5 linked regions of the Bombyx mori genome follow. The protein of the gene in region 2 purifies or fractionates together with the protein of the main gene of each other region. This does not show direct contact. Links are inferred from orthologs where the notes say so. Each region holds a gene or a part of one and is shown on either strand. Other genes may lie near its edges.

Region 1 (7,032 bases), on a different chromosome or scaffold from region 2:
GTATTTTTCAGTGCTTAGGCTAAGTTAGGCCCTGAATATTATTATTTGCGATTATTCTTCATGATAAAAAAAAAGTTTTGTTGTCAGTGCCTAACCTAAAGCACAGTTACGCATCTATTATAATAATAATATATCGTTGATTAAACTATTTTGACATCGACTTTTTGTAGAAAATGTTAGGGCTCGTCTGGTACGTTCGAAGAGTCGAATTTGTTTGGTACAAATTGTAAAACGCATCAGCATAATATAGTATACCGTTAAATTCTCGCCTCATATTTATAAAACCCGGGTTTAAAATAAAACAGCCCTGTCTTTAGGATATGTTCCTTTTTTCAGCAATATTATTTTTAGGTTTATTGATAGTAATAGCCAGGCGAATGTGTTGCCGAGACATTGTACTTAATGGAAAACACACCAAAGAATTCGAAGCACCAAAAATTGCCTGAGATTTTTTCAGATATGCCATTTTGTTTTGTCGATATTGGAAATGATGAAGCTTTGTATTTTGCGGTGGTGTATATTTGCACATAAAATAGTGGTGCACATAAAATGTGTTTTTCTTCTGTATTATATTGTATTAGTATTATGATTAGTAGCTTTATTTGTTTGATAAATTAGTATGATTGTATTAATCAAATTAATTTTGTGATAATAAATTTTAAGGTTTATGTTTATGCTAGTAATCCTGGTCACGCTTTGCCGTGACTATAAGTAATTGTGTGAAAAAGATATATTTCTTGAAACTATTCATGCGCTATTTATGTTTATGGTACTATGACAGAAACCTCTCCTGGAGCTCCAACCACATATTATTATGCATCATCAAAATAAATCACAAGTAACACATACTAATCTCACACAAAATTTTAATACAATTATAATTTATCGATTACATGCAGTGGTGAGATGAGCGGTTCGATTTTAGATTCTATGAAAATATGACATTAATACAAATGAGTTCAGTTAATAAGGTTAAGGTTTATTATTATTTAATTATCATAAAATTATTACTACCTAATCAACGGTTTAGTAACGTATAGGGAACACAACTAGAATCTTTATACATCGCACTTATGGCAAAATTCTTGTTTTTTGGTAAATATAATTGAAATTGAAGAAGCCAAAAATGTAATTGAAGAGTTGTAATTTTTCAGTTTTTAATACTTAAAGCCTTAAAGCGTATACCTTAAATATTATGGTATGCCCTTGATTTTAAAGAGAGGGAAAGTGTACTTTGTCCTTTTCTAACTAAAAAGGTGGTGTGTTATTTCAAAAAGACTACTTATAACTGTACTACTGTAACTATACTTGAGACCTTAGAACTTATATCTCAAGGTAGGTGGCGCATTTACGTCGTAGATGTCTATGGGCTCCAGTAACCACTTAACACCAGGTGGGCTGTGAGTTCGTCCACCCACCTAGGAATAAAAAAAAATAACAGTTCTATATCATATAAGGTATTGTTGTGTAAAACACCTCAGAAAAGCTTAATAGTGACAGCATAGCATGACTGGGATTCACTAATGTACGTCTACTGTCTATTGTAATAATGAAACTTTTAATTAGTATAATATATTTCAATAAAAATACAAGACCTGAATAAGTTGACAAGTCACGAATGCAACTTTCATGTTTAATTATTTATTGAAAGTTAAAAAAGATAGATATCAATTTTGGAGTAACTCCCAAAACATTTTCACACCTTCAACATAACTACATAAGCACAAGGTTAGCTATGTACCACTATTCAAGTAATAACATTTTTTATTATGTACTTTGTTTCCCTTTTATGAAAATGCATCATAGAATGATGTCTGTTATATTTTTATTTATTTATTAAAACATATTTAGTTATCGTGATAATAAATAATTGATGTGTATATTATAGTAATGGAAAATAACTTAAGTGAAAAATCAGTATACATATTCCACAAATCTAGATAACAACAATAATATATTTTGTTCTATATTTAAGGACCATTTCTTTGAACTTAATAAGTCTTTACTGTAATTTTAAACTGCATTGAAGTAGGTCAGCCAATTTTCGAATTAAGAAACATAAATTCTTATTGTGTAAAAACAACAAAGTTTAGAATAACAATAATTATTTGATGTGAAGCCTATGTAACTTAAAAGCTTAAAATATGAGTACAATTTTTGTGAACAAAATTAATGTTGTTTCAATCTTCCTCATTTTCCAAGTTAATGTGGCTACCAAATTTTCCATACAAGTGTGCTTTCAAGTCACTCATTTGTGATTTTAGTTCCTCACATTTTTCTTCTAAATCATGAATTTCATGTATTTTTTTTGCTTTAGCTTCCTCAAGATTTTTCTGGAATAAAATTATAATACTAGATTTAAATATATATGAGTCGTCTATTATCAAAGGTGGCAATCTGTGCATTTGGACAAAAGTTTTTTATTGATATGTCAATACAGATTGATTTGAATATAATCGTCTCCTTCAAAGAATACGGTTCAAAACCTGCATTAAATAAAGGTTAATAGTTAACCTGTTATTTATCTAAGATGTCGTTCCGAAGAGTTTTGTGACTGCCAATGGAATACAAAGTCAATAATTCGTTTTTCTGATTTACCAATCATTGTCCAAAAGTCAGATTGCCGGCTTTGATAATAGTCGACTCATATATAATATTATTTAAGGGTATATACCCTTTTTTATTTATTGAGTTAAGTGTTAAGTTTAAATATAAAATGAGATTAGATAGTTGGATATTTTTTAGTTCTCAATTTTCAGTTGGATTAATATTTAACTAATCTTCAATCAAGCTTAACCTACAAATAAGGCACTTTTATATATTAGAAAGAGAAAATTGTATGTTTCTAAAAATCTATAATCTAACAAGCTTAGCACTAAAAGGGTCAAAAAAATTTGTTATGAACTTAAGGCTTGTATATGATCCTACAAAATGCATTAAGTAATCTGTCAAAAGATGAGTGAGTTTTTGTTTTTGAGATATGCACTGAAAAATATTTAAATAATTCTCTTGGTATTCGCTTTTTACTGAAGCATTAATATCAGATTGAACATACATTATTTTATAAATAAGTTTAGGATAAACTGCTGCAACTTTCTTTTATCAAATGACCACTATTTTACTTTTAGTTAATAAAATATATAATATTAATGAAATTTTAAAGAATATTAATGTGATAGTCTTACCAAAGTAATTTCCAAATTCTGACAAATAAAAATTTCACCAATAAGGTAAGGGATTTTTTCAGAATCATCAGCAAGGCTCAGTTCCTCAACTGCTTCTTCTAGGTTCTTTACATCGTTTTGTTTTACTTTGAGCTCATCCTTATAATCGTCAACTTTAGCATTGAGACGAGCAAACTTGTTAATTTTTTGTTGATCTTCATATGAAATGTGTACATCAGAGTCCTAGAATGCCGAGGAGAAAAATAAATGAAATTCAATAGAATGTTCATGTTTCGTACCTAAAATGGTCTCAATATGGTTAATTAATACAGTAAATTTCTTCTGCTTGTTATGTTTTGACAAAAATAAGTATTGCACATTTACTTACTGGCTGAAAAGTTCCTTTAGCTGTAGTTGACATGTTTACTATCAATATTTAAACATAAAGCATTAAATTTCGGCTGCGCTTAACCTCAAATCGAAATTGTTCATTATTGTTCACTTTTTTTAAGCGTAATTTGTTCATTGAATAGGCAAAAGGAACTTAGCCTATAAAGCCATGTTTGTAACGAAGGCCGAACGGAGTGAATAGTAATTGATTTTGGATGTTTATTGATTTTATGATTGATGATGATTAAATGGAATAAAATGTAACCAAATTCAACATAAGATGAGACAGCATGGTTGATTTTAAAAGGAACAACCTATCAGTAAGATGGTGCCTGCTCATTATGACTCATTAGACTACCTAAGTTTCGAACAACAAAATTGACATTGGATCAGCTTGGTGGAAAAAAAACTTCTACAAAATTATTTTTCCTACCTAAGCCTTGATTTTTTTTTTTTTTTTTTTTTTTTTATTGCCCTTGTAGGCAGACGAGCATACGGCCCACCTGATGGTGAGTGGTTACCGTCGCCCATGGACTTCAGCAATGCCAGGGGCAGAGCCAAGCCGCTGCCTACCGCTTAATACTCTCCACAAGCCTCGTTTGAAGAAGGACATGTCATAGCGCTCGGGAAACACCGTGGAGGGGAGCTCATTCCATAGCCGGATGGTACGTGGTAAAAAAGACCTCTGGAAACGCACTGTGGATGACCGCAGTGGCTCCAGGTAGTATGGATGAACTCTACTCCGGTGGCGGGCGGTGCGATGGTAAAAACGAGATGCCGGTATCATCTCGAACAATTCCTCAGAGCACTCCCCATGGAACATACGGTACAAAATACAGAGGGAACCGAAGTCCCTCCTTGAGAGGCTATTTCAGCGTAACCTTAACTAGTAGGTGAGCTCACCGGGCTCAAACCGGAGTGACGCTAACACTGACCCTAGTAAGAGCAGTGCTTCGCAGAATCTACCGCCAGATCGGAAATGCGTCCCACTGAGAACATTCAGCGAGAAACTCAGTGGGCTATGACTATGGGTTAATTCGCTCGTCGAGCCCTTCATCGCAAGCGACGGGTTCGACGAGGACGGTGCTTGTGGTGCCTAAAAGCACCGTTAATGGATCGGGAGGATCCGTAATGACGTGCTTTGGGCAACGTCGACTGCTTACCATTCGATCTACAGGATCGGGTATGTCTCACAGCGCTCAGCAGCCCTAACTATAATATGAATGACTTCGTATACCTATTAAAGATTTGACGAATGTATCGGTATATACCTGAATGTGCACGGTAGAAGCAGGCTGGACGGGGGAATCATAGTCTACAAAGACTCCTAAATAAAAAGAAAGATAAAAAGAAAGATAACGATTTCATTCCACTCAACACAAAAATTCGGAGGTAGGAGACTAAAACGAGAATGTTGAATGAGAATTACTACAAATGAATATATATTATGTTAATAAAAATACCCAGATAAGTTCATCTGGAACGTATCTGGGTATATTTATTTATCCTTTTCATTATTTCAAAATAAGTTAGAATATTACCCATAATTTAATATCAGATACCGTTGTGCCGTGTGTTTCCCTTGATTGATTGATGCTTCGAATGATCTGAATGAAATGAATAGAGCAATATTATACTGATACGGATTTTTTATTATGGATCTAAGCGGTATTTTCAGCCATTGTATAAGAATGCAAAACCGGGCGGGCGACCGGCGACCCCACCACGGCCGTTCTCTGCGCCTACGCTCGACGACACCACTCACTTGTCCTAAGTTGTCCGCAGACCCGCACTTCAACTTCGAACATCAGACACAGTGCGCGTTACCCAGAGACGAGCAATAAATAAATTTTGATAAACAGTATTAGGTCGTGATGGAAAAAGAACACCAGCCAGACTCGATGGCTACAATAACTATGAAGCCGGAATATCCGCCTTCTGAAGTATACAGCACATCAGAACCGCCACCGGTATGCAAAACCCGTTACCTATTTAAGAATTAATAATATATTATTATTATCATATTGAATAAAAATATGATTAACATTACAATAAAACACAAACTTTAATTTTTAATTAAATACGTACATTATTTGAGTGCAGTAACTGAACAAAAATCTTTTATTTTTATAGATTACATTAAAATAAAATATCAGATATGAGTCGACTATTATCAAAGCCGGCAATCTGACTTTTGGACAATGATTGGTAAATCAGAAAAACGAATTATTGACTTTGTATTCCATTGGCAGTCACAAAACTCTTCGGAACGACATCTTAGATAAATAACAGGTTAACCATTAACCTTTATTTAATGCAGGTTTTGAACCGTATTCTTTGAAGGAGACGATTATATTCAAATCAATCTGTATTGACATATCAATAAAAAACTTTTGTCCAAATGCACAGATTGCCACCTTTGATAATAGACGACTCATATAGTATAGTCATTAATTTCCTGTACCTATTCAGAAATGTATGGTTTTCTAATTGTTAAACTATTATGACAGTCACTAAATGAGGCAAAATAATTGTGCAGTCGAATAAGTAGGATACAACTGGTGGAAAGCGCCTTTCTCTCGGTCTAGTGATTGTCTATAGCAGGTGACGCGTAGACACTTGTTTGTAAACACAGTTACTTTATTCATTCGAGATATTGGCAATATTAGTGTTCGAAAGACCTAGAAATCAAGAAATACCAAGTTATCTAATATATAAATTGTTAGACGAAGCTACGACTGAGTCAACAAAAATTAATTCAAACAATAAATTTTTCTGAAGTAAAATTTTACGAATTTATTTTATATTTAAATTATTGTTGTATTCTCCACTTATCAAGTGCTTGATTTAGGTAACAAAAAATATGAGTTTTTAATAAAAAACATTTTCAAAGTTATTATTCTCAGATTTGTTTACACACATCTTTAGCTTTATATTTTTTGCAACCAAAAATGAGAAAGAAATGACATGAGGAATCATAAATTATATTAATATGTTAATCGTGGGAAATTATATTGTTGTGTTTTGTGCGAGCATCTGACAGTTTCTCATCAAAATCTTAAGACTTTATTAAAATCTTCTATAATATTCAAATTCCAGATTGGTTTAGTCCAAAAGTTTTTGTAGTTCAACATGCTAAGTCGTGGAAAGAAAAATATCTATGCGGTTGAATTTTCTTTTTTTTTTCTTTTTAACATCTTTTTATTCAGAATTCGCTTCATTAAGTATATTTTTTTGTTATTAGATTAAAAAAGTTCGTTCGCAACATAGTTCAGAAATTGTGGGCACATTTAAAATAACACTAGGGACGACCAGTAAACTTAATTCTATTGAAAATATAATATGATTTCTTGCACCTCAAAATCATTCCACTTGCATCGAGCCTATATTTACTTTTTGGTTCGTTTAAAAAAATACACGCGGAAAAAATCTTTTAAATAAAAGCCTTCTTGAAAGGATTTGGATCGTCCCAAAAAGA
Region 2 (5,971 bases):
GAAGACAGCGTCGGAACGTTACTTCGATAAGCTATGCGTCATGATAATCGCCTTACCCTTGCCGCCGCTGACTACTCCCCGAATCCTGATCACGCAGGAGCCAGTCACCGTCGTTACCCTAGACACATCCTTACGGATCCATCAGATCCAATAACTCTTGCATTAGATGCCTTCAGCTCTAACACTAGGAGCAGGCTAAGGGACCACGGTAGCCGTACTCGTCGAGCTCGGCAAAGAGTTCGACGTGCAACCTAAGCCACGCATTAGCCCGCTGAGTCGAATCTTCTCAGCGGGTTGCGATTCCGACCCGGTAGTAGATTCATTCGCGAAGCAGCTGCTCTTGAGTTGTTAGAGGTCTCCTTCGGAGGCGCTTCGGCAGCTGTTAGCAAATCCCCCTCCTCTTGGCTGAGCCCGTGCTCGCCCACCTGTCCTGGTGAATCTGGAAAGAACTCTGGGCCACCAGTAATCATTCAATCATAAAAAAAAGTTATTAGAATAGGTAGGAGAGAAAAAAAAGGTAGTAACGAGAATGATGAAGTTGTGTGAATAGTTTTTTTTTATTTACTTATTATTTCTTCAAGTTTAATTGTGTAAAAATGTGGGAAAATGAAATAAAGTTAAAATCTCACTGCAGTCTTAAATAAACACTCCATCTTATTGGGACACAATTTCGTGACATTTCATCTTCACAATTTCAAATAAATGAATTTCAATTAATTTTGCCCCATTTCTCATTTATTCTTAATTTTCCATTTTTCAATTAAATTGTTACTTAAAAATGGAAGATGTTTAAAAAGTCAACACTGGGAGCAAAGTGGAGCAAAGGCATCCTAAGTAGGTACCTAATTGCCATATTGAAAAAAAGACAAAGAAATAGTTAGGTATAATATTGTAAATACCTAACTGTAATACTGATTACTGGTGGTGGGAGGGAAGTCTTGTGAGTCCGCACGAGTAGGTAGCACCATCCTGCCTATTTCTGCCGTGAAGCGGTAATGCGTTTTGGTTTGAAGGCAGGGACAGCCGTTGTACTGTAACAACTGAGACCTTAGAACTCTTGTCTCAAGGTGTGTGGCAGCAGTACTGAAATATGAAACTTATGGAAATGAAACGTCAACAAAAAATTCGTGTCACTGGGCAGCAGTTACGTAAATGTCTCAATGTTAACGCCAGGTGGGCCGTGAGCTTGTCCACCTATCTGAGCAATAAAAAATGTTTCAGCCACTATGCAAACATAATAAAAATAATTTGTTTGACGATCGCTCAGTTATCTTAGATGTGCGCTAAAACCTAATCTTCTTATGACCCAGTAGTATATTCTGGGGTACGAGTTGACGACGCAGTCGACGGTGACAGGATTTTGGCTGCCCACTGCACTTAGGGGAACAGAACGTCGTTTTCTTCGCGATCAAAACAATTTTTGAATTTCAAAAAACCGAAATTTAAATAAAATTAGTATAGATATGTAATTAGCAAAGTATTTCATAAACATGACCTAGCCAAATTCTAATCAGTGTAGGTTCAGAAGTTTTTCATAAAACATTGGAAGATATGATTCATTAACTTCGAAACCACTAACAATATTGATGAAAACTTGAAATTCAAACGATTATTTGAAAATAATTTTATCATTTATCTGTGAGTTGATGTTCAATCCTATCATAAGAAATAACAGCTTTTTTTTATTAGATTGGTGGACGATCTCACAGCCCACCTGGTGTTAAGTGGTTACTAAAGCCTATAGAGGCATAGACATCTACGATGCAAATGCACCACCCACTTTGAGATGTAAGTTCAAGGTCTCAAGCATAGTTACAACGGCTGCCCCACCCTTCAAACTGAAACGCATTAATGCTTCACAGCAGAAATAGCAGGGTGGTGGTACCCACCCGTGCGGACTCACAAGAGGTCCAACACCACTAATTATACAAATTTTAATTTTGCGGGTTTGATTTTTATGACACGATGTTATTCCTTCACCGTGGAAGTCAATCGTGAACATTTGTTAAGTATGTATTTCATTAGAAAAACTGGTACCCCCTGCGGGATTCAAACACCGGTGCATTGCTAGATATGAATGCACCGGACGTCTTATCCTTTAGGCCATGACAACTTCAAATGCAATGTAAATTTCATAAAATGAAAAAAAAAAGGATTTAATATAATTTATTGTGATACATTTAGATTTTTTATTCTCTGCTATTTTAATGAACAGCAACTTATAAAGCAATAATATATTACTAATAATGCAAGAAATATGTTACTAATTTTAAAAATATTATATTTGTTAAATTTGAAAAACATTAAGTTATAAAACATTGTTATTATATATTCAAGATATTTAATGTATTGTTAATGAACCAGCAAGTTGTCCAATGGAAATTTATACAAGACATAAGGAAACTATTCCATAAATTGAAATAGTAATATCAAATATACCAATTCTATAACAGAAATAATGATAAACACTTGATCTACTACAACTTAGAAGATGATAACAGGATACCTACGTTATGAGACTAATATTTATTTTGGTACGATAATAGAGTGGAATTTTGCATTCAGCTTATTTTTATTGTTATATTACAGCAGTGCACTGCTCTATAATTTAATATTCCTTGTTTCGAACTGTAAACTGTACAATGTCATCATAATATAACAAATAAAATATTTGTGGGAACAAATTCTTTACCCCTCGTATTTTATGATATTCAATCCTTTTATTATATTGTTTAATAATACAGTACATTATTTTAATAATACACCGACTTGTTTGTTGAGCAATCTCATGTGATGCAAATCATTGTTGCTTACAATTGTAGACAGTTTTTTCTATGTACAGATAATTATTTTATATTATAATTGTATTATTAGCTAAAAAAAATTAATAGACAAAGTTGCTTCATTAACAATTGATTTCATGTGGATAATTATAATTCCAATCATCTATTTTTTTGAAGGTATTGGGTTTGATTCTGCTGCTGGCTGATTTTCATTTTTCATCCTTTTTTGCTGAATCAAATCTCTGATGTTGGACTCACTTTCATTTAAAGTGTGGTTTAAACATACCTTTCGATTATTTAAATCGTCAATGCGGCTTATCAATGTATTGGTTTTTTGTCTCAAATTCTGTTTAATATGCTCTAAGTCTGATTGAACAAACATTCTTGCCATAGATTCATAGGTTTTCGTTCCAGGTGGTAGCACGTCGATTTCACGCTGAGTAAGATTTGTATGCATTTGCATGCGTCCCAATACGGCAAGCTGGTGATCTATATTTTCAATAGTCTTTTTAGTTTCAATCATTAGCACTTGTAAATCGACAAACGCTTGTTTTAATTCTAGATCCACCGTTTTAGCCATTTTGATGATAGTTGTCAGAAAATAAAATCACCGTCTTGGGCACCTATGACAATTTTAAATACAAATAGCCTCGTTGCTTTTCGTAGGCACGGTACCTACCTACCCATAGATTATACACTTATTATATTCGAGTATAGAGTGGGTGAAAATAATATGTTTATTATCTATGATAATGACCAAAGACTCTTTTCATCCACTCGTCTACTTTGAAAAGCAAAGGGGACAAAAACCATGTATCTGATGAAGTCATCATACGCTTTTTTTATAACTTCACTTTAGAATAGGTACTTCAGTTTTAAAGCAATTTAAGTGTCTGTAATTATAACTAATGCCGGCCACTCACATGCGCGCAAATATTCGTACATTGGACGAATGTTTGCGCGCATGTGAAGGGCCGTCAAACATTCATTCGCAAACTTAGTGGCTGTGCAAATGGGTTCGGAATCCATTTTGCGAACCCGTTTGCGCTTCCTCCTACACTTGTTTACGAATGTCTCACGAATTTTTCCTCCTTTTTAATTCGTCAATAGAAAATTGCAGAGAAAAAGAGTTTTGAATTCTTTCCCAGACATCATTAACAGTCATGCTGTTTTTATGGGATTTCTTTTGATGAAGATACGCTACACCGTAGACGTCACGATCTATGAAAATAGCGAAACGTCCGTTGCTTGCGCAATCCTGGGCGCAACTGGTCACTAGACATGTGTAAGTAATGCGAGTGATATTACTCGGGTAATATTACTCTACGATGTAATGCAACATCACACATTACGCGAAGGAAACAAACATCACACTATCACCCAACATGTTTCTTTCTTTGTCGTGTAATGTTGCTTAATACACGAACGGAACCGAGCGAGCGAGACAGACCGATCGACGCAAAATAAATGAGCAAGCGACACGGAATTATTCCTAGTGATTTTGAACCGTATGTCCTGGCCGCTAGGTACATTTTTATACCTATGGTACGTCTGAATTTTAATATAGGTATTTGTGTTTATATTTTTCATGCGGCCAGCCGGTAGCTCCCCGCAAGTACTTACTTAATTTTTTATTCGCAACTTTTGTAAAATCGCTAGTCGCTCGTAATTGTTTAGTAATATTTCATATTAATTTTTGTGTTTGATTTGAATTACTTAAGCACTTGTTTGAAGATAGTTTTATTATTTGTTTTAATGCGTGTTTAATAAGTGAAAGAAATAACGGCGTCTAAATGAAAGTACAGTCCTCCTTGGATGCACTTTGAGGATATCGCGCCGAAACAATGCATCTACTGCTCTCGTATATTAACATTATTGTCGAGCTCAATTTGCAGTCTAAGTCGCCATATGAAATCCGTTCATCCCACAATAAATTATATTAAGTAAAAAATAAAATTATTATATTATTAAGTAAGTCAATCTGTCAAGTAATATAACAGTGTATTACAATACAAAGTTCATACTTTGTATTGTAATACACTACTGTAATGACACACCCGAATCATTACCTAAGTGATGTGTTTATACACATCACTTAGGTAATGATTGATGAAAACATTACACATCACTCTTAACATTACTCGGTGCGTTCAATAGATACTGTGACGACGAATACATTGTATCTATACACCCGAATCATTACCTAAGTGATGTGTTTATACATATCACTTTGAACGCACCGAGTAATGTTATGAGTGATGTGTAATGTTTTCGAGTAATATCACCTATCTGTAAAAGTGATGTCATATCACATTACATTGGGAAGTGATGTTTTGCGCAAGTCTACTGGTCACACGAATGTGTGGGAGACTACGCGAAGGATCGCGGTTCGCGCGCTTTGATCTCTGTTTTAAAAATCGACACAGCTTTGAAAACCACGAATGCAGCGAAAACTTTGCATAATAATTTGCAAATGTCGTCCTACACTTGCGGGTTTGCGTACTCGTGCGAATGTGAGTGACCGGTATAAAATTATATTACTTAAATTTTTAGGGGAGGATAAACACAAAAAGGGCTCATCATTCAAGCACTTTAGATAAAATTAGATTTTATGAGAGAGTAATGTCCAACTAATAATTTAAATATTTGTTGCTAATTGTAATAATAATATTGTAATTGTGAATCATAATATCTGAGCCGCATGAAACTCCTGTGGTGATGAGGATATTCATCAGTAGTTTCTTGTGAACTCAGATTGAGCGAAAAGATCATAGACAAAATAACCTAAAATGTTTGCCACTACTTAAAATCAGATTTGGCGTCTCTTTCGCATTTCATTTTACTCTTTCTGGAGTGTCTTGAATGTTGAATGTGACATGGCGTCCATCAAGATATAATACGGCCTTCTGAAAGGACTGTTTCTATGACAGTGGAATTATTTTGCATTTTACTGAGGCCGTAATAAATCGTACATTTGCATTGATGGTAATGCATGCAAGGAAACCACAGCGGATAAGCGATGGGTACGGTATAGCTATAACTGCTTGGGCTTAACATTCCCAGAATATGTACATGGCGGTCGCCGATTAAGTTTTGCTGTAATTTGGTTAAATTTTGATGATTAATTTTGTTTCCAGGTACTTTGAGAAGCATCAGGCCCATCCGTATCAGGTAAGCTTGCACACAAA
Region 3 (5,545 bases), on a different chromosome or scaffold from region 2:
CTTGTGAGTCCGCGCGGGTGGGTACCACCACCCTGCCTATTTCTGCCGTGAACCAGTAATGCGTTTCGGTTTGAAGGGTGGGGCAGCCGTTGTAACTATACTTGAGACCTTAGAACTTGTATCTCAAGGTGGGTGGCGCATTTACGTTGTGGATGTCTATGGGCTCCAGTAACCACTTAACACCAGGTGGGCTGTGAGCTCGTCCACCCATCTAAGCAATAAAAAAAAAAATTCGTAGCTTTTTTTCCCCTACCTATGATGATAGCCTTCAAGAGGCTATATCAGCGTTACGCTGCGTGTGCGTGAGCTCTCGGGGCTCAAATAGGTGTTGCTAACACTGGCCCTAACAAGAGCAGTGCTTCGCAGAATATACCACCGGATTCGAAATGCGACCCACTGAGAAAATCCGGCGAGAAACTCAGTGAGCTTTGTCTATGGATTAATTCGCTCGTTGAGCCCTTCGTCGCGAGCAACGGGTTCGGCGAGGACGGTGACCGGTGTTTGAGATACCTAAAAGCACCGTTAATGGATTCGTAATGACGTGTTTAGGGCGACGTCGACTGTTTACCATTCGGTCCACAGGTATGTAATTTCCGACGGCCACAACAAGAGTGTTTTTGTTTCGTACTGTTTTCTCAAAGCGGCGAGTTGATGCCGACTGTTTAAACTTACTGATTGAGTCAAGCTCCAGGTCATCATGGAGAACCACATTCCTTAAAAACCACGGTGCTTGAAGGGGTTTCAAATTAGTGCGTGAGGGATCATTACATTTGCGTCATGACCGGGCGTATGCAAGTTTTGTAGGTACCTTATTACGAAGGTTTTCGTAATATTGTCGAGTGTTATAGAGATAAATACTTGGTACTGTAATCCAGGTATCGATTTAAATTTAGCACTTTATGATATTGTAGTTGGTAGATAGGCTGTTCTCTACAGCTTGAGCTTTTAACCAGCGCTGGTTGTTGGCTGGAGTGATCTACAAGTACTGTTCCAGCTCCTTCAAGAAGTCAGGCATCTTCAGGTTGATCAGGTAAACACAAGAAGCTCACCATAAGTAGCTCTCTGCATTCAAAAAGGCTAGTCGCAGAGAACTATGGATGATATCCTAATTCAGTAATGAACAGTGACTCAAGAAATGTAGACTGCATAAAAAGAAAAGGTATTTTTTTTAGAAAGTTACAAACTTTATTAATACTAAAGTTACAGTTTCTTGGGATTCATTAGGAACAATATAATTCTTAAATTGGGTACAAAAGCTTATAAATGTGTATTTTTTTTATAGTGACACATTGTAACTTCAATGCCTTTAGCTTTATGTAGCTTAATGCAGGAGAATGAGTATCTTGAACGTGATTAAGTTGCACTATGTTGAGATTCAAGACACAATTTTTTTTATGCCTGTATTCTTTATGAGCAGTATTAATTATTGAATAAATCATTGGAAACATAATTAGAATAAGTTTATTAAATTACATTTGTGCACTTTCTCCACTGCCAGCTTAAATTATGCCGACCATTTGTATACAAATGCAATACATAACATTTGTAATAGGTATTTAAAAACAAAAAATTACCCAATTTTTTTTAGATTGTCATATGGTTTTAGGTTAATATACAAAACTACTGGTAATAGAAGCGAACAATTATTCTAAGATGAATCTGGTTTCAAAACTAATGGTACTCATTATACCGTCAATTACCTTGCAAACTTTCAGCTTATACACACAAAAATAAATATGTACAAGTAACAAAATATTTTAGTTTTGAAAATAAATAATAAGTAAATAATAGGCAGCAGTTTGGCTGTGCTCCTGGCATATCTGATGTCTATGAGTGATGGTGACATCAGGAGGGCCACAAACATCTGCCTGCAATGGCAGTAAAATAAAAACTTACTTTCAGTAAGATTTTTTATTTTTATATTGAGTTAACAAAAGGAAGAGGTAAGTTTAGTGTAATGCCACACAGCAGTTTTTTCATGATTATTGCATAGCTAAACATACATTAAATTATTAATGTGTAATATTTTTATTTGTAATAGTAGTTCTCTAAACATACAAGTGAGTCATAATAGAAGAATAGAAATATTTTACTTTTAATTCACACATTTTTCAAGCTTTTAGTTTTAGTTTGCCAAGATCATTTCTAAGTTTATTTAAGTTTTCTTGCAGTGCTTCTTGTTTGTTTTCTAAAGCACATATGTGATCATCTGTTCTTTTGATTTCTTTGCTAATGTACTCCATACGTTTGGAGACGTTTTGTCTGGCTTCTTCCAAATCTTGCTTCACCAATACGGGTCCGATGAGTTTGTATACCTCTGAATCTTTTCTTAAGAGTTTTAGTTCCTCTTTGACTGCTTTATTTTCATTTAACTGGCTGTCTAATTGTTGTTTCTGAGTGACCGCTTTCTTTATGTCTTTTTGAACACCTTGAAATAATTCGAGCTGTTTTTGAAACTTTTTTTGTATTTCTTCCGCCATTGTGTTTCAGTCAAGGTATGATTTGATAGAAAATAAACAGTTTAATACAGAAATCTTTTCCGTTTTTTTTCACCTGCTCAAAAATTTTAGTTGAGGTTATGTCTCAAATATATTAAGTGTATAATCTATGGGTTATGTGTGTATTCTCTATGGTTTTGTCATTTGTCTGACATTGATTTTGAAATTAACCATAGATAATACACAAAAAATTTCAAGTGTCACTACGTACCGGTAAAATGGGGCGATTAGGGACAAATTCCAACTTTATGACCAATTTTAAGGTAGATGTTGATGTATATAATGCTATATCAGGATCGAAATGATTGAGTCTTGGGGGCATCTTTGTTGTCCAATTTAAAACTATGCAACTAGCATTCCAGTTTAAGCAAAAAAAGCAAAAATAGGTGTAATCCCTATTTACCCGAAAATTGCGGTTAATTGGGACGAAATGAGAAATTTGCTAGGGCTGCCACTACTTGGTTTTAATTTATTTATTTATTTAGTTGCACCAACAAAGTGATCATCAACTTGATTACATTTATTTACTTATGATTAATTTATATTTACTTGAGAAATGATCCGCGACAGATTTGTCCTGTAAGTTGTGATACAATTAAAAAAAATTTATTTCATCACTTAAAATTAGTTCAGCGTAATCGGACAACTCCGAATGAACATTGACGGAGACCATGCTACCGTGGACATTATTGTAGTCCCAAAGGAGAGTAAGCTTTCTTATAAACGGTTTATATTTTTTCGTTCTTGGTAAGTACTTAGGGGCTGATATTTTTATCTGGGTTAAGAGATTAGGTGTGTTGGTTATTCCATGGATTAATCAGATGAATACCCCCACTCTGAACAAATATTAAATATTTTACTATGTATTACTTAGACATTTTTGTCCACCTTGACATTTCATTGTTCTTGTTAGATGTCTGTGCAAAATCGACTTACTTATATTAAATTGCTTAGCTATTTCAACTAAAGACTTATTCCCAATTTCAAAGGCTTCTATTGCTGTTTTTAATATTAAGGGATCATATCTCTTTTAAGGCTTTGCACTCTTTAATACGTACACGCGAGGCATTATCTAAAAATAGAAAACAGTACGTAACTGATAATATAAGTATTTACCAAACAATAAAATAACACATTGATAATTTTGAATAAAAGTTCTAGACAAAAACATCATGAATAAACAAGATTTTTACCAACAAATTTAAAAAATATTGTTATAACTACATAGACAACCCTACAAACCTGTACCTATTTATACTCAGCTCGTTTCCATTTCACGTATTCTCATCCCAATTGACCCCTTTTTCGTTGTTATTTGTACCTAAGACGTCCCCAATATCCCCAAAAACAACAGATTTTTACATGTATTTTTATTTTATCAAATACATTAAAACCAATAACAACTGAGACTTACCTTTAATATATATGATGGCTCAAACACTAAATAACGTGTATAAATCACAGTCGTCTTCTATTAATATCAAATAAATAAAAGAGAGCAAAGTTTCTAGCACCAAAATAATGACCACCACAGGAAGTTAATTTGAAACGCGATTTTTTATAAGTTAGCAGCTATTATCATGCATATTCAGAGTTGTTTTGTGAACTTTCAACATTCTACTATTAAACTAGAAAAAATGGAAGATTTTGCAACGAATATAAAACTAATATTGACTGTCGAAAGATTTTCCCGGTTTTTTCCCAATTCGCCTCTCAATCCCTAATCGCCCCATTTTACGGTACTGTTCGTTGTGTGAATTTTCTTGAACTTCTTTCTATCGAAAATAATTGGGATCATACACACGTCGACTATATTTAACAGATTTTCTTAATTTTTAATGATGAGTTCGAGAGCATCCCTTTCACTCGGTCACGTGAAACAGATTAACAAATTAAAAAACTATAAATTACGAGTCCAACAAGGCCAGTACGCACTTTTCGCAGAGGTTCCGTCTTCACTCCTATTCAGCAGCGAACCATAGGGGAGTCTTGTACATTGTCATGAGAACATTGTGGAACATTGATATTTGAAGGAAGCCTGTGGGAGGCTTAAACGACGAAAGGAAGATCTTCCACCGAGCGGATGATATTGCTCGGTAGACTGACGGTCTGAATGTTGTTGTTCGGAACTTGTTTAAATGGAAGCTTGTCTTGAAAATATCGTAAACAAGATTCAGGTATCTATCAAATATCTTGCGTTGTATGATAGCTACCGTCACAAAGCCGGCCGTCGTTATTAGGCGGGGGCCGATTTCGAAATGACGACCAATGTTGCCACGAGCCTCCATTTGGGGGTACTAAAGTTGCACCACCACTACGATGCGGATGTCATAGTTAACGAGATGGGCAACACGGCGACGGTGGCGGATTTCGAGGCCTGTGAAGCAACAGGTCCTGGGTTTCCTTGAGCGCCACCTTGAGGCCCAGCTCCATAATTTTAGACTTACACCCGTATCTTCAGTCGTTTACACGAGCTTAACTCAACTCGACTCAACCTCCAACCCGCGTTTTGGTATGATTAGCATAGACCTATATAGTAGGGACACGACATATTGTTCTATACGTACAATTGCTTATATAAATAGCACCCATTTTGAAGGCACATACATAAACATATATCTATCTCGTTCTTACTCAGCACTTTAACTCGCAGGAAAACAATATAACAGTATTTCAGTGCGTACATAAAATGAAACATGAATATACGTAAATATCTCCGTCTCCGTCTAATGAGGCCGAAAATCCGCCATGTTTAGCGCGCCAAATGTCATTGTCACGTCAATTCGGCCGTCTGTTTTGGGTTGTACATTATTTATTGACTTTGATATCGATTTAATATGATTGATTATATAAAATTTCATAATTTATCATGCTTAAAACATACAAAAATAATAATTAAAACGCATTTTATAGGATCTCAAGAAAGTCGATGCCCTAAAACTATTATCATATGTATTTAAATTCATTATGGAGCCCTCATCCGAAAAATCCATTTTTCGGTCGGAATCTATTGATCATGACACTAATCATAAATACCACTTTAAAAT
Region 4 (7,045 bases), on a different chromosome or scaffold from region 2:
GCGCAGGGCCGCGCCCGCATGGTGGACGTCAGCTCCAAGCCGCGCACGCAGCGCGCCGCCGCCGCCGAGTGCGAGCTGCGCGTCGGCGGCCGCCTGCTGCGCCTGCTCCGGGACGCCGCCATGCCCAAGGGAGACGCGCTCACCGTTGCCGAAGTAATTTATTTCTCGAATTCGATGCAGACCCAAATGGAATCTTTAAAATGAATGATTAAGTCAAACACTCCTTACAGATCGCGGGAGTGCTGGGCGCAAAGCGCACGTCCGATCTGATCCCGCTCTGCCACCCGCTGGCGCTGGAGCTGGTGCGCGTGCGGGTGTCGCTGCCCGGCGGGGAGTGCGCGGCGGGGGGCGCGGTGCGGGTGCGCTGCGAGGTGGGGGCGGAGGGCCGCACGGGGGTGGAGATGGAGGCGCTGGTGGGGGCGGCGGTGGCCGCGCTGGCGCTGTACGACATGTGCAAGGCGGTGGACAAGCACATGTCGGTGTCGGAGCTGCGCGTGGTGCACAAGTCGGGCGGGTCGACCCCGCGCGCCCGCTCGCCCCCGCCGCCCCTGCGCGCCCCCGACACGACCCCGCTCGACCCCAAGGAGACCTACGCGCCCACCGACCTCGCACACTTCTAACTGGTCACCACAAACCTGTGACTAGTGGGTAGTGCCGCGCCGCGGTAACGCTGTGCCCTCGCTCCTCCTCGTGCTTTACTTCGTGGTTATGAATTTAGCTTTTAAGGTAATGGTGCTATTGTACAATATTAACCAAGAACAAAATTAACTACTGGATGTTAATAAAAAACAACGTTAAGTCTTCAAATTTTATTATAATTTAAATACATGTTAATCAAATGCGACATTAGAATCTTCTCACACTGGGCTCCGGCTGCGCCTCTCACGGACATAACACAATGCTAACGGAATGCAGAATGTTAGATTGCAATTATTTTGGATTATCATAGAACATCATCATATATGACTGGTATATCAACAAACTTGAGGAACAGTCAAAGCTGTTAAATTGTAAGACATTTAGATGTGCTGTGCGCGGGATATTATGCGAATTGCTCGGCCAACTAACTGTATGGCCTTCTAATATTCATTCTACTTCATTTCGTTCCTAGAAATATGAGTTCGAAATCTCAATTGCTTTTGAAGGTTCCACCTTACCTGAACGTAACTGCTTCTTGGAATAAAATGGATGTTAGTGGCGCCCGCCGTGCGGCTCCACTAGACGCCATAGTTCGCCAGCACAACACTCAGAACTATTTTAAGTGGAAACATTGTAAAAAAACCTAAATCCATCCACTGTGGTTTCTAATACCCCACCTGATACATGGAGGTAAGAAGGCAGGGCCCGACTAAATGTAAAGTTTGGATTACAATAAACATGTCAACGAAAGGACTTGCATGCCAATTGTTTGTTATCCTCTGTGGTATCAACAGTATTGGAGATTAGTCGTCAGACCCTTACAAGTCCAAACTACAAAAATGAATTTTTCAGAAATATATTTTATACAAAATTACTTTACATGAAATAAATATTAGTACACTTTTTTTTGTTTAGTTATTCTTTTCTATATTATAAAATAAAGTTTCTTGTTATTCCTGGCTATTTTTATTTTAAGTAACAATAAATTTTAAGGTTCCAAAAATTAAAACCAAATATGAATCTAGCCATGATCATGTTTTATAATCATATTAAAATTCACCTGATGAAACAGAAAAAGTTGTCACTGTTTTATTGTGACATCCCACCTGGTATTAAAATTTTATCAGACCTCTGACAACATTATGAATGTCACCATCCTGCTAAGAGTATAGGAAGTTTTAATTATATTGTATAGTTGTCCATAGAAATAAGGTAATAATCTAACCATGCTCACTTAGAGTATGGTGCAAGTAATAAATTATCCAAACTTATTAACTTTTCAGTTGAGACTTTTTACACAAAGTTATTACCTGATTGCCATAGTTCATCTCTGAACTCGGACATGCGTATAGTATATCATTCAAATTGTTGGCAGTAAGTTGGCTCTACCCCTGGCAATGGTGAGCCGTATGCTCGTCTGGGCAAGGGCAAATGAAAAATTCAGGCATTCAGGCTTGTTAACTGGCCAAACACTTCAAAATAGCAGTAAACCTTAAAGCTATGTACACAGTTAAACAATACTCTCAAGGTTTCAGTGATATTTCTACTTATTACAGTTGCCTACCAATCACATTGACTCTGCATAGGTGAGCTTCAGATGCTGTGACAGCATTGGGAATATACATATAGCACAATGTGGAAAACATTTTACTATTTAAATTATTTTTCTCTCATATATTACTCTAATGTTTAGAGTTTAAACATTCAAAGCTTATTGTTTTTGATTAGAAATATATCACTGTCACCTTAGACATTGTTAAAGAATGGTGAGGACAACAACAAAAAACTCCATATTGTCTTGACTTCTTAAATGAAGCTATTCTCATAATTGTTGGGACAAAGAGACTGCTTCTCTGCATTTGTATTACATATTCCATGAAAAGTGTTGAAAAGTTGTTCAAGATCTATTTTATTATTAAAGTTTATTATCATACTACTTTCCACTAGACAAGGGTTCATATTCTACTGCCTGAAAAAACTGTTTATTGAGTTTAATTCCACATTATTTGAGCACATTCAGCTGGGGAATTAATTATTCTCTGTGGAGTTTTCGCTGTAGTATTCCTTTCTTTAAATATGTGGTTAAGTGTCTTGGAGTATTGTCACACTAAAATGATTTATTTATCTGGTTGAGATGGATATTCAGTTAGATTTTCCTTTTCTTGTCATCATATTCATAAAGTACTGCTTCATAATACCATGTTTGCCCCCCTTGCCCCTAAACATCAGCCAGAACTAATTTATCAAGCCACACCGTAATAGTATTGTTAATAATAAAAAGTTTCCCAGTACTACCTCACACTGCTTTAGGCAAATGTAGGACTAGTCTCACTGTCAATACACTGCGACAGCTATATGAAATGAAAGGATCAGTATAGTTAACCGCTAGCAACTAGCACATTAGACTTGGTAGAGGTGGATTGCTCTGGAGGTGGTTCAGGCATGGTGCGATCAGCACGTTGGATGCGAATATCATGTTCCTCAATGTATTTATTGATCTCCTCTCCCTTCTGAGTGAGTTGGTCTTCTAGGGACTGGATGGCCTTAGGTAGCTGTTCATAATTGCTGATCAGCTCTGGCAACACCTCAGCTACGGTGCGTTCGACAAGCACGCCCCCAAACATCCGGAAACACTTACGGGTCAACTCCACTCCCCGCAAAGTCTCAATTACGATCCTGTAGACATAATTTACTATGTATTTTGTATTTTTTTAAGCAGTAGATTGATATGCAATAGATTTATTCCACATTTACTCACTTATGTTCGTTTAACTCCATTTGTAATTCTGATATTTTACTCCCTAATTGACGTTGTTCATTACGAAGAGTTTGGAAACCAGCAAAGATTTCCTCATTCGTTTTTTTTCCTACTTTTGATGTATTTTTAGCCATTTTACTCTAGGTAGGTAGGGGAAATGGAAATCAAAATTTTAGGATTTTTTTTTATATAGTTTTAAAAAAAGAGTAATCAATTTAACTCTCTTTGAAAAGTAAAAATAATCACGGTTTACTGAAAGTTTTAAAAATAAAAGAACATGTAAATGTATTTTAAATTAACAAAAACTCAAATTAACTAGTTTTTATCGAATACACGGATTAGGTTATGTACATTAATGTACATGTCAGTTTTTTTTTTGCGAACGCTGGCTACTTTACCTTTTAGGCAATTTTTTTTTTTATTACTTCACAAGAAAATCTTTACCCTCAAATAAATTGTGACCATAGTTTGTGAAACACTTGAGATAAGTTTGAGTCATGACAACCAACTCCTGAAAAGCATCTATTATATTTAAAAAGCATTTTTGGGACGTATTTTGATAATATCCTAATCCTTAGATTAAAAGCATTAAAGTCTTTGTCTATTACTAATAAAATTTAAACTACTAAGTTCTAATAGTACAATAGTTGGGGAAAAAGTTTCTTCGCATTTTTTAAGAAAATTCACATTTTTTAATATTGTTTATTTACATTTAACTAAAGTATGTAGGTACCATTTTGTTCGATAACTTTTTGCCATCTTGTAGGTAGGGACATGATCCCATTGCTATGGGGCTTCCGATCAAAATACCGCGACAATTGGTTTTGGCAGTCCTCTCGTGATGTTAACCTGACAATGCCTAAAAAATTCTGAAGAGATCGAAACAGGTGGAAGTCTGAAGGTGCAAGGTTAGGACTATAGGTAGGAACATTTTATCCGTAATACCCAGCTTAGATAAGAAAAAAAAAATGTATGTGTGACGTGTGTGCAAGTCACACACGGTAGAAGTGAAACCTTTAAAAAATAAAAATTATCGCAAGGGTCAACCACTCCATAGTGCAATGGAGCAGCCTCACCCTGGGGGAAACCGCCTGCATGATCACCGTATCCCTACGCCAAGTAAGTATGATTAGATTATTTTTTTCCTACCTATGCTGATAGCCTTGAGAGGCTATATCAGTGTCGCCTTAACTAGTAGGTGAGCTCACGGGGCTCAAGCCGGATGATGTTGTTAACACAAACCCTAGCAAGAGCCGTGCTTCGCAGAATCTACCACCTGATCGGAAACGCGACCCATTGAGAAGAACCGACGAGAAACTCAGTGGGCTGTGTCTGAGGGTTACTTTATTCGTCGAGCCCTTCGTCGCAAGCGACGGGTTCGACGAGAACGATGACGGGTTCGACGAGAACGATGACCGGTGCTTGAGGTACTTAAAAGCACTGTTAGTGGATCGGGAGGATCCGAAATGACGTGTTTGGGGCGACGTCGACAGCTTTCCATTCTCACCGCAGGATCGGGATTGTAGTTACCGACGGCCACGATGAGAGGGTTCTCGTGTCGTGCCGCTTTATCGAAGTGGCGCATTGACGCCGACTGAAGATACTTACTGATGGACTCTAAGTCCAGGTCGTCGTGGAGCTCCGACGGCTATCCTGCAAAAACGGGATTGAATAACTTGGAATGATTTTAAGCTAGTGCGGGCCGCGTGAGCGAACACTGCGCTTGCATAGGTCATATCAGGGCGTACGCAAGTTTTGTAGAGTGTCACCCTATTTCTAAGGGATAATTTACTTCGCCTGCATATCATCGGATAGAGAGTGTAGAGACATCCTAGTATGAAGGCGGCATGATCACGTACCGTCTTCAAGTGGGGGCGGAATGTCATTTCTCTGTCGAGGGTGACGTCTAAGTATTTGACCTTCGGGGCCGACGGTATGGGTTGGTCGTACATGATGAAGAGGCGAATGGCGGAGGCGGAAGTGTTAACGCGCCTAGTCGGGAGTAGGATGTTCCAAGTGGTTGTGATTGAACAAGAGAAATACGAGAACGTTTATCAACTGTGTAACATCTCATCACCGCGATTCAGGAATTGTTGAGTTTACGTGCAGTGACATCTGTTGATAACAAACTAAATAGAAATAAAAGTATCTCAGGGCGCTCCAAGAGCCACGACAGCATGCACGGACATCAAAAACACACTGAACTAGTCGAGGATGCGAGACCGTGTGGAGTGCTTCGTGATTTGTCGGCGCCGCTCGGAGCCGCTTCGGCAAGCCAATCGCGGCACACTTATTTTTTCGTTTCGTTTCATTTCGTTTCATCGAGTTTGAAAACACAACGATTCTAAAAAAGTTTCACTTCAAAAAATCACGTAATGATCACATATTAACCACAGTGTGTAAATGTGTAATGTGTTGAAATGTGTAATAACAGTGGTTTATTAGCTGTTTAATATTTGTGAAAGTGCACAAATGTGGGAAAATGAAACAAAGCCGCTGGACATAATCTCTTGGGACCCTCCAAAAAGTCCACTGAAAAAATCTCAGTAAATGACCACTATTTTAGTGAGATTACATTTCATCTCATCTCATTTAATTTAATTTCATCCCAGTTGAATAATGTCTCAAATTAATAATCTTCATATTATTTCCCTCAATATTATAATTTAATGTCTCGTAGCGATCTTGATTAGTTAACAATGAGCTATTCCTTTGGCTGATTTTAATCTTAGTAGTGATATAAACAGAATCAGTTGTCCAGTGATATCTTCATCTTTTGTTGTACGATTTAATTTCTGTTCTGTAAGGTAGGTATACTGTGCCTCCTTAATCTAGTAAACTGCACAGCTCCTGTGCCTCCTAGGTCCGACGCCAATTTATTGACGTGTGTCGATAACCTGGCTTGGTATTTTTTGCTGTAAGCTACTATTTCCTCTTTCACTGTGGGAATATTTAGGTCCATTTGTATGATCTTGTTGCTTATGTAATGCGGTATTCTTACCATTGTTCTGAAAGTTTTATTTTAAAACCTTTCAAGGATCTCGACATTGCTATTGCTGGCAGTTCCCCAAAGCTGTATGCCATATGTCCATATTGGCTTTAAGATGGTTTTGTAAATTAAAATTTTACTTTCCGGCGAAAGTTGGGATTTCCCTCCAGTCAACCAGTACATATTTCTTAGCTTTATGTCCAATTGTTTTCGCTTAGACCAGATGTGCTTTTGCCATGTCAGTCTTCGATCCAGATGTATGCCAAGATATTTTGCATCTTCCGCTTGCGGTATGTTTTCGTTGTATAAGCTTACAGGTGGACAGGTTTGTTTCCTGAGGCTGAAGGTAACGTGGGATGATTTGCTTTGGTTTACTTTAACTCGCCACGTATTAAACCATTTCTCAAGGTCATCTAGATGTGATTGTAAGTTTTCAAAAGCTGTTGTAGGGTCGTCAGGAACAGACATAATAGCTGTATCATCTGCGTATGTTGCAATGATAGTGTTTCTGTTGGTTGGTAAGTCTGCTGTATAGATGAGGTACAGGACAGGGCCGAGTATGCTGCCTTGTGGCACACCAGAAGTAATCTCATGCATTTGTGATGATTCTCGGTTATGTTTAATCTCAAAGCATCGTCTATTAAGATATGACTTAATAA
Region 5 (7,196 bases), on a different chromosome or scaffold from region 2:
AAAATGTCATAAGCGAGATTCAGGCATCTGTCAATTATCTTGCGTTGTATGATGGCTACCCGCCACACGCTAAGAGTGCAGAAAAGTTTTTATTCCACGGTTTACTTGTGAAAATAAACCAAGTTTATAGGTAATTTTGAAGTCGTCGTGGCCTAAAAGACGTCCGATGCATTCGTATGTAGCGATGCACCAGTGTTCGAATCCCGCAGGCGGGTAGCAATTTTTCTAATGAAATACGTACTTAACAATTGTTCACGATTGACTTCCACAGTGGAGGAATAACATCGTGTAATAAAAATCAAACCCGCAAAATTATAATTTGCGTAATTACTGGTGGTAGGACCTCTTGTGAGTCCGCACGGGTAGGTACCACCGCCCCGCCTATTTCTGCAAGGTGTGTGGCGCATTTACGTTGTAGATGTCTATGGGTTCCAGTAACCACTTAACACCAGGTGGGCTGTGAGCTAGTCCACACATCTAGGCAATAAAAAAAAAATGATTTCATACTTATGAAGAGTGTCATGAAAATATCAAATCAAATTGGTGAAGATGGACTGCTGTTTACATTAGAGTAAGAAAGCATGTGATTTTTATATGTATATATTCACTATAAATATTCATTCAAAATAAATAAAAATAGAAAACTAAAAATCTTTCATTTTGCAATTTAAATCATACCTATTTGTTTTGTAGAAATAGGCAAAATGTTCTCCATTCTTTAGTTTTTACAAAACTTGTCTCGAGGGCCAAGCCAAATTTCACATGACAAAGTCACATCTATACTTACACATGTAAAATAGTGCAATCAAATTATAGGTATTGATCATTTCATCAATAATACATACCCTGTTCCATTCAGAATTTGTATGAGAGTACGACTAAACCCGCATCTTGGAGTTTCCTTGTTCCCTTTCATGAATACCATTATATTATGCTTATTTATTAAAGCTTTTAGTCGATCTTCAAGTTTCTGAGGGGTTATTTCTGCAGGACTCTTATTAAGACTCTGTGCTTTAATTTTTGTGCTAATTTGAGCAGCATCTGCTCCATCAATCCTGTCTACTTGAGTTCCATTCTTAAATAATATAACTGTAGGCACTGAATCTACCTGAAATAAACATAATCATTAATAAGTTGTCTAAAACAGGCTTTCCCTATTTTGATTGTTTTCATTATAAATTATTTCAATATTCAATTACATAGGCTCTTTGATTGCTTAACTGGTCTAGTGTAGTGTTTCCTAAAGTAGTCTATTTCAATCTGAAGAATGACATAAAGTCTTTAATGCATAGTTGAGTAACCAAAATCAAGATACAAATTGATGTATCCATAAAGGTATATAAGCCGACTTAACCTAATAAGTGTATGGCTTTAATAAATAATAAAAAAAGTATACACAGGTATTGCAATAGGTGACTTAATTGTCTGTGCTTTATGATGCACTACATTTTTAGGGTTAGCACTTATTACTTTTTATTTAACAATATATTAGCAGAGCATTACCTTATATTGCAAGGAAACTTCAGAAAGTGCCTCGGCATCACAAACAGCACATTGTGTCTTGCTCGACTGAATTTCAGGAAGTTTTAAGAGTTCTTCAAGTACATCTGTAACTTGTTTACATTGTTCGGCCCATTCTGCTGAAAAGTGTACTACTCCAAGTGCAGGTGATCTAAATTAATTAAATAATTTTTGATATCAGCCAATACCAAGATAGATATTAAAGAATCATCTTGTTGTGATAAAAGATTAATTGAAAGTAATATTCTCAATTTTATATTCTAAATACATATTTCCATTTCAATGAATGCAAAATGTTGACCATCCTGCTACATAGTAATTTATTATCTAACATTTTTACCTATTTACTGTGTATTTAATTTAATTTCTTTTTATGGCTTATTTTTAATGATCCTTTCACAAACGGTTTTAAAAGTACTTTTTTATTAGCGGTGATTCTTACCTTATAAAATTATTAAAATCTTCAACAGAGTCCAATTTACTGACCGACATTTCAGTATACTATGTTTAGGTTACTTTAATAAATTTTGTAAACAGTATATAAGCGCCACTGGATTACAGCAAGATTGAATTACAATTACAGCAAGATCCGGAATCGTAGGTGTACTCGATGCAAAAATTACAATTTATTTAATCATGTTCATTCAGTTTCTGACATCTCTGATTAGGGATGTGGTCTAAGATCGATACTTGAGTAAATTAATTTGTTAACAACTTAAATCGTGAATAGTGAAACATCTTAAGCAGTAGAAAATCGAAATTTGATGAAAAGGCATTAATAAAGTATTTATGGTTCAACTGATTATGAATATATTAAATATAATGTTTATTAAATTTAAATTTACATTTTAAATAATAATAATTTAAAAAGTTGTTGTATATAAATCATGTATTTATTAAATTTTTTGAATGAATTTGTTGTTAATTTCTGTTTGATTGATTTTTGTGTCATTTTGGTTGCACTTGGGTATTTTCTAGAATCGATTTTTCAAAATTTTGGTCTGAAGTCGAATCATCATCTCTATTTCGAGCCAAATTTTTTTGTTTGATTTGTTTTTTGGACAAGCAAAAGGAGTCATAAATAATAAATAGATGTACACAATAAGGAGTTTTAGCAACACAGCGAAGTTATATTATGTCATGTATATCTTATTTATTTAAAATCGCTTAGCCATCTTATTGTTTACGGTTAATGATCAAGCTTAGTGGTAGATTTTTTTGTGTCTGAGCCAATTTTTTTGCTAATTTATATGGTGATTAAAAGGTTTGCTTAGTCATTGCTCTCTCGAAATGCTCGCAACATAATTGTTAACTTATAAATTTATTAACCTCTTTAATACGATTTTCGTTAGCGGTCAAATTGGTAGAAAACTACCAATATGACTAGCCAAATTGATACACACTAATAAATCCAGTTTAGTTTCTGTAAATTCTCAACATTTTACTAAGAGGTTTTCTTTATCGATTTGTTTTTTTCACTTATTTGGTGTTATAGGCAGAATTTGTTTGCATGTCAATTTGGACCAAACAAGTAAAACTGTCAAATTGACATATTCTGACTGAAGTTTTGGATCCTACCCGAAATCTACCTATTTTGAGGTTAGAAAAAAGAAATAGTCTTAGGATCCTACAAAAAACTAAATAGAATAACTAGAAACGTGTGTTAAGTTCTTTTATTATTTCCTTTTATTAATATTTACAAAGATGGCATCCGGTTCAGGCACTCAACAAATCGATTTAAACAAACTACCTTTGCCTCAACTAGCTCAATTGAAACAGCAGTTAGACCAGGTATGTATAAAGGAAATATCTATAGAGCTATTTTAGAAATAGTAAGCATTAAGTATTATTTCTTCAACATAATATAATTTATACAGATAATTATTAAATGTCGTAACTATTAATGTCCTTAAGAGACAGGACTTATGTCCTATTTTAAGGACCCTCATGAAAGCCGGAATGAAAACATTTCCATATGTTTTCTGGTCTGAGTTGTGTATCTAGGTGTACTTGTTAGTGACATGAACCCGGACCTCAAATACCAACTCACAAAGCTATGAATCTAAGATATGTTAAAGAGAAGACTTCACTGAATGTGCTCATTTTTGGTAGACAAGCAGTCATCATGTTGTTGTTCTGATCTTTTATTGGAAGACTATTTCGTAAACAGTCAGCTTCAGGTCATATCCGCTTTTCTTTATTGTATTGTAGCTATTGCTATAATTAGCCAGAAATGGAACATCAAACATAATGACTAAATTGAGGGAGACATTTTTTTTATTGCTTAGGTGGGAGGACGATCTCACAGCCCACCTGTTGTTAAGTGGTTACTGGAGCCCATAGACATTTATGATGTAAATGCGCCACCCACCTTGAGATATGTTCTAAGGTCTCAAGTATAGTTACAACAGCTTCAAACCGAAACGCATTACTGCTTCACGGCAGAAATAGGCAGGGTGGTGGTACCTACCCACGCGGAATCACAAGAGGTCCTACCACCAGTGAAAATGTGTCTGTATGTTAGTAACTGATGTTATGTTACAATATGCATTAGTAAAACGTCTGCCCTTTAGTCTTTAGGTCTACTTTGGGAGTACTTGGGCAGCTGTTAGTAAATCTGACTCCTCCTGGCTGCTCCCATGCTTGCCCTGCCTATCTTAGTGAAGCAGTAGTGGCCTCCTTGCAACCAGCTATCTCCATCCGAAAAAAAGGCAATACTCTCACACAAAATCCATAAAATTTTATTTCAGGAATTGACAGTATTTCATGATTCAATACAAACATTACAAATGGCTAAAAATAAGTTTGGTGAATCAGGAGATGTTCTAGAGAAGATGACGCCTGATATCAAAGGAAAACCGATGCTTGTTCCATTGACTAGTTCAATGTATGTTCCTGGCACAATAGCTGATGTTGAGAATGTCATTATTGACATTGGCACTGGATATTACGCTAAGAAAGTGAGTAACTTAAATCTATACATATAAATAAAATTGGAGTGTCTGTTTTTAATATTGAAATAACCGCTTTTTACTACATGCATATGAATATATACAGTACATACACCAAAATAACATTTTTTACAATTTTTGTCTGTCTGCCTGTCTGTCTGTTTGTTCCGGTTAATCTCTGGAACGGCTGGACCAATATTGACCAGACTTTCACTGATAGGTAGCTGATGATATAAGGAGTAACTTAGGCTACTTCTTAGATTAGGTTCGGCCCGCGGCGTCGGTTATTGTCGTACCACGGGATAACATCGCGGGACTCAGCTATCAATAATAAAATTTAATGTTTCCGAAGCGAAGCGAGGCGAGGGGGGGCGCTAGTTAAAAATAAATTTAAACCTAATTTAACACTTAATTCAGCTCCAAGTTTGGCAGGATAATATATCATGTATAGCTGCTGTTTTCATTTCAAACCTCATTTCAGAAAATGTTGAGTACTTTAGAATATTGGTATGAAGATTGAATCATGATATAGTTTCAAATAATTTCAAATTAACTGCATGGGTTACCCCTTAGGGCTAATGATGCTGACATATGTTTGTATTACGTTTTATTTCTGCTTCTAGGACATTGAAAGTGGCAAAGATTACTTCAAGAGAAGAGTAGAATTTGTTACAGAACAAATGGAGAAAATAAGTATGTTAGGTGCAGAGAAATCGAAACTCCGTGAAGCTGTTAATGCATTAGTTGAAATGAAAGTTCAAAACGAACTACAAGCAAAAAAAGCTAACTCTTCATAACATATCTGAGACTTAATTTAAAAAATATTTTGTGGAGAGATTCGTGTCCTTTTAATGTATAGAGTTGACCTAAATTTTCTGCTTTGTTAATTTATAGTTTATTTAAAGTATTTTAATTACTTTTTAAAACATTTTAATGATTACATCTTAGTGTTAAAAGTGGAATCATTTGTGTTTTGTTACCACGTATCACCCTGTCCTAATCAAAGTGGTTACTATTGCTTCTGTACATCAGTGATTTCAGAGCAAAGCCAAGTTTCTGAATGTATTAACGTAATCCCAACAGCTATGACTTATACTGATATTTTCTAATGTAAAGCTAGATAATATTATTAAGCCACATCAAAGCTTTTCCTCACATTTTCTTTAATTTTGGATAAATTTTGAAACTAATTACCTAAGGTAATATTTTGTGTTTAGAATACTCCTCAAGAGTACTACTCAATAGCATCAAGTAATGTTAATAATATTCTTAATTCATGTTTTGTAATTTTGTAAAGCTTTATATCATTTCAAACTATGTGTTTTACAAGTACAAGACTCATTGCTTAGTTTTAAATTTAATTCAATGTAACAAAATGTGCTTATGTTTAAAATAAATATATAAATATATTTCCAAGTTTTACTTGAACGATCCAGTATAACAAAAAAAAAACGCGGCTAAAACAAACATCAGCAAAAAGTGGCTTCTTTTTTTAAGATATATTCTGATACTGTTTTAAATGTTTTAATGATCTAATTATTGAATTCTGAAGAATAACACCCTGTATTGTTGTTGTATCTAGTAATAATCAAATTCTAGAAGGATAGTTACATACTCGTATAAATGTAATTTACAACTTTCTTACACAATCCATAGATGAGTCGACTATTATCAAAGCCGGCAATCTGACTTTTGGACAATTATTGGTAAATTAGAAAAACGAATTATTGACTTTGTATTCCATTGGCAGTCACAAAACTCCTCGGAACGACATCTTAGATAAATAACAGGTTAACTATTAACCTTTATTTAATGCAGGTTTTGAACCGTATTCTTTGAAGGAGACGATTATATTCAAATCAATCTGTATTGACATATCAATAACATTTTTTTGTCCAAATGCACAGATTGCCACCTTTGATAATAGACGACTCGGATGTCGCCTTTGTGTATTGCTAAACTCTTCTTTCTATAACTTACTAGGGACCCGCCCTCGCTTCGCTTCAAAACTGTAATTTATTATTGATTTCTCCACTACTTAATGGATGTTATTATACATATAAACCTTCCTCTTCAATCACTCTATCTATTAAAAAAACCGCAACAAAATCCGTTGCGTAGTTTTAAAGATTTAAGCATACATAGGAACAGACAGATATAGGGACAGAGAAAGCGACTTTGTTTTGTACTATGTAGTGATGATGATGATTAATGCAGTCTCGTCCGCGCGTAGCTACAATAGCCCCTTAAACTACCAGCAAATAGGTAGCGAAAAATGCACAGCTATTAGACTTAAAGTCTGTACAATATCACAGTTTAAAATAATTTAATTCCATGATTCGAATACTAGGATTTTCACTATCTCATAAGTATACCTACCGTAAGCGGCAATCTAGACGATCAATTATATTGCCTGGTATTGCGAACTTGGCAGTATTTTTGACTAGGGTTAATATTAAAGATTGCACGATGATTGAACGTTTTTAACTATATAGTTTAATTTTTATTGCACCATATTTATTTATTGCATCATGTACGGTCAGTGCAATGTTTTAAGTCTTTTTTTTTATGATTAAAGTATTACTGGTGCCTCGGAGGCCTTTCCAGGTTCACCAGGACAGGTGGGCGAGCAAATGCTCAGCCAGGAGGGGTGAGATTTGCTAACAGCTGCCTGAGCGCCTCCGAGACCAACTCAAGAGTAGCTGCTTCGCGAATGAATCTACT

What was found.
Region 1: the proteins of prefoldin subunit 1 (region 2) and probable prefoldin subunit 4 purify together in Homo sapiens (affinity purification with mass spectrometry; 5 studies listed by BioGRID and IntAct, counting the BioPlex papers as one, with this or other methods). This does not show direct contact. The link is inferred for Bombyx mori from reciprocal best matches to the Homo sapiens genes PFDN1 and PFDN4.
Region 3: the proteins of prefoldin subunit 1 (region 2) and prefoldin beta subunit purify together in Homo sapiens (affinity purification with mass spectrometry; 6 studies listed by BioGRID and IntAct, with this or other methods). This does not show direct contact. The link is inferred for Bombyx mori from reciprocal best matches to the Homo sapiens genes PFDN1 and PFDN6.
Region 4: the proteins of prefoldin subunit 1 (region 2) and prefoldin subunit 2 purify together in Homo sapiens (affinity purification with mass spectrometry; 5 studies listed by BioGRID and IntAct, counting the BioPlex papers as one, with this or other methods). This does not show direct contact. The link is inferred for Bombyx mori from reciprocal best matches to the Homo sapiens genes PFDN1 and PFDN2.
Region 5: the proteins of prefoldin subunit 1 (region 2) and prefoldin subunit 5 purify together in Homo sapiens (affinity purification with mass spectrometry; 7 studies listed by BioGRID and IntAct, with this or other methods). This does not show direct contact. The link is inferred for Bombyx mori from reciprocal best matches to the Homo sapiens genes PFDN1 and PFDN5.

Annotation. Positions count from the first base shown.
Region 1 is NC_085117.1:12,409,286-12,416,317, forward strand, and holds probable prefoldin subunit 4, read right to left. Parts: upstream 3,889-7,032; 5' UTR 3,586-3,888; coding exon 3,553-3,585; intron 3,408-3,552; coding exon 3,186-3,407; intron 2,334-3,185; coding exon 2,181-2,333; 3' UTR 1,557-2,180; downstream 1-1,556. Other genes in the region: EN protein binding/engrailed nuclear homeoprotein-regulated protein, read left to right, coding at 5,429-5,524. UniProt on the Homo sapiens protein: Binds specifically to cytosolic chaperonin (c-CPN) and transfers target proteins to it. Binds to nascent polypeptide chain and promotes folding in an environment in which there are many competing pathways for nonnative proteins.
Region 2 is NC_085107.1:9,946,448-9,952,418, reverse strand, and holds prefoldin subunit 1, read right to left. Parts: upstream 3,499-5,971; 5' UTR 3,364-3,498; coding exon 2,947-3,363; 3' UTR 2,153-2,946; downstream 1-2,152. Other genes in the region: WW domain-containing adapter protein with coiled-coil homolog, read left to right, coding at 5,766-5,806, 5,921-5,954. UniProt on the Homo sapiens protein: Binds specifically to cytosolic chaperonin (c-CPN) and transfers target proteins to it. Binds to nascent polypeptide chain and promotes folding in an environment in which there are many competing pathways for nonnative proteins.
Region 3 is NC_085112.1:4,986,079-4,991,623, reverse strand, and holds prefoldin beta subunit, read right to left. Parts: upstream 2,612-5,545; 5' UTR 2,481-2,611; coding exon 2,112-2,480; 3' UTR 1,623-2,111; downstream 1-1,622. UniProt on the Homo sapiens protein: Binds specifically to cytosolic chaperonin (c-CPN) and transfers target proteins to it. Binds to nascent polypeptide chain and promotes folding in an environment in which there are many competing pathways for nonnative proteins.
Region 4 is NC_085129.1:192,207-199,251, reverse strand, and holds prefoldin subunit 2, read right to left. Parts: upstream 3,888-7,045; 5' UTR 3,532-3,887; coding exon 3,398-3,531; intron 3,316-3,397; coding exon 3,018-3,315; 3' UTR 1,480-3,017; downstream 1-1,479. Other genes in the region: molybdenum cofactor biosynthesis protein 1, read left to right, coding at 1-153, 231-620. UniProt on the Homo sapiens protein: Binds specifically to cytosolic chaperonin (c-CPN) and transfers target proteins to it. Binds to nascent polypeptide chain and promotes folding in an environment in which there are many competing pathways for nonnative proteins.
Region 5 is NC_085112.1:5,060,438-5,067,633, forward strand, and holds prefoldin subunit 5, read left to right. Parts: upstream 1-3,069; 5' UTR 3,070-3,225; coding exon 3,226-3,312; intron 3,313-4,271; coding exon 4,272-4,481; intron 4,482-5,095; coding exon 5,096-5,269; 3' UTR 5,270-5,881; downstream 5,882-7,196. Other genes in the region: glutaredoxin 3, read right to left, coding at 846-1,108, 1,504-1,672, 1,964-2,013. UniProt on the Homo sapiens protein: Binds specifically to cytosolic chaperonin (c-CPN) and transfers target proteins to it. Binds to nascent polypeptide chain and promotes folding in an environment in which there are many competing pathways for nonnative proteins.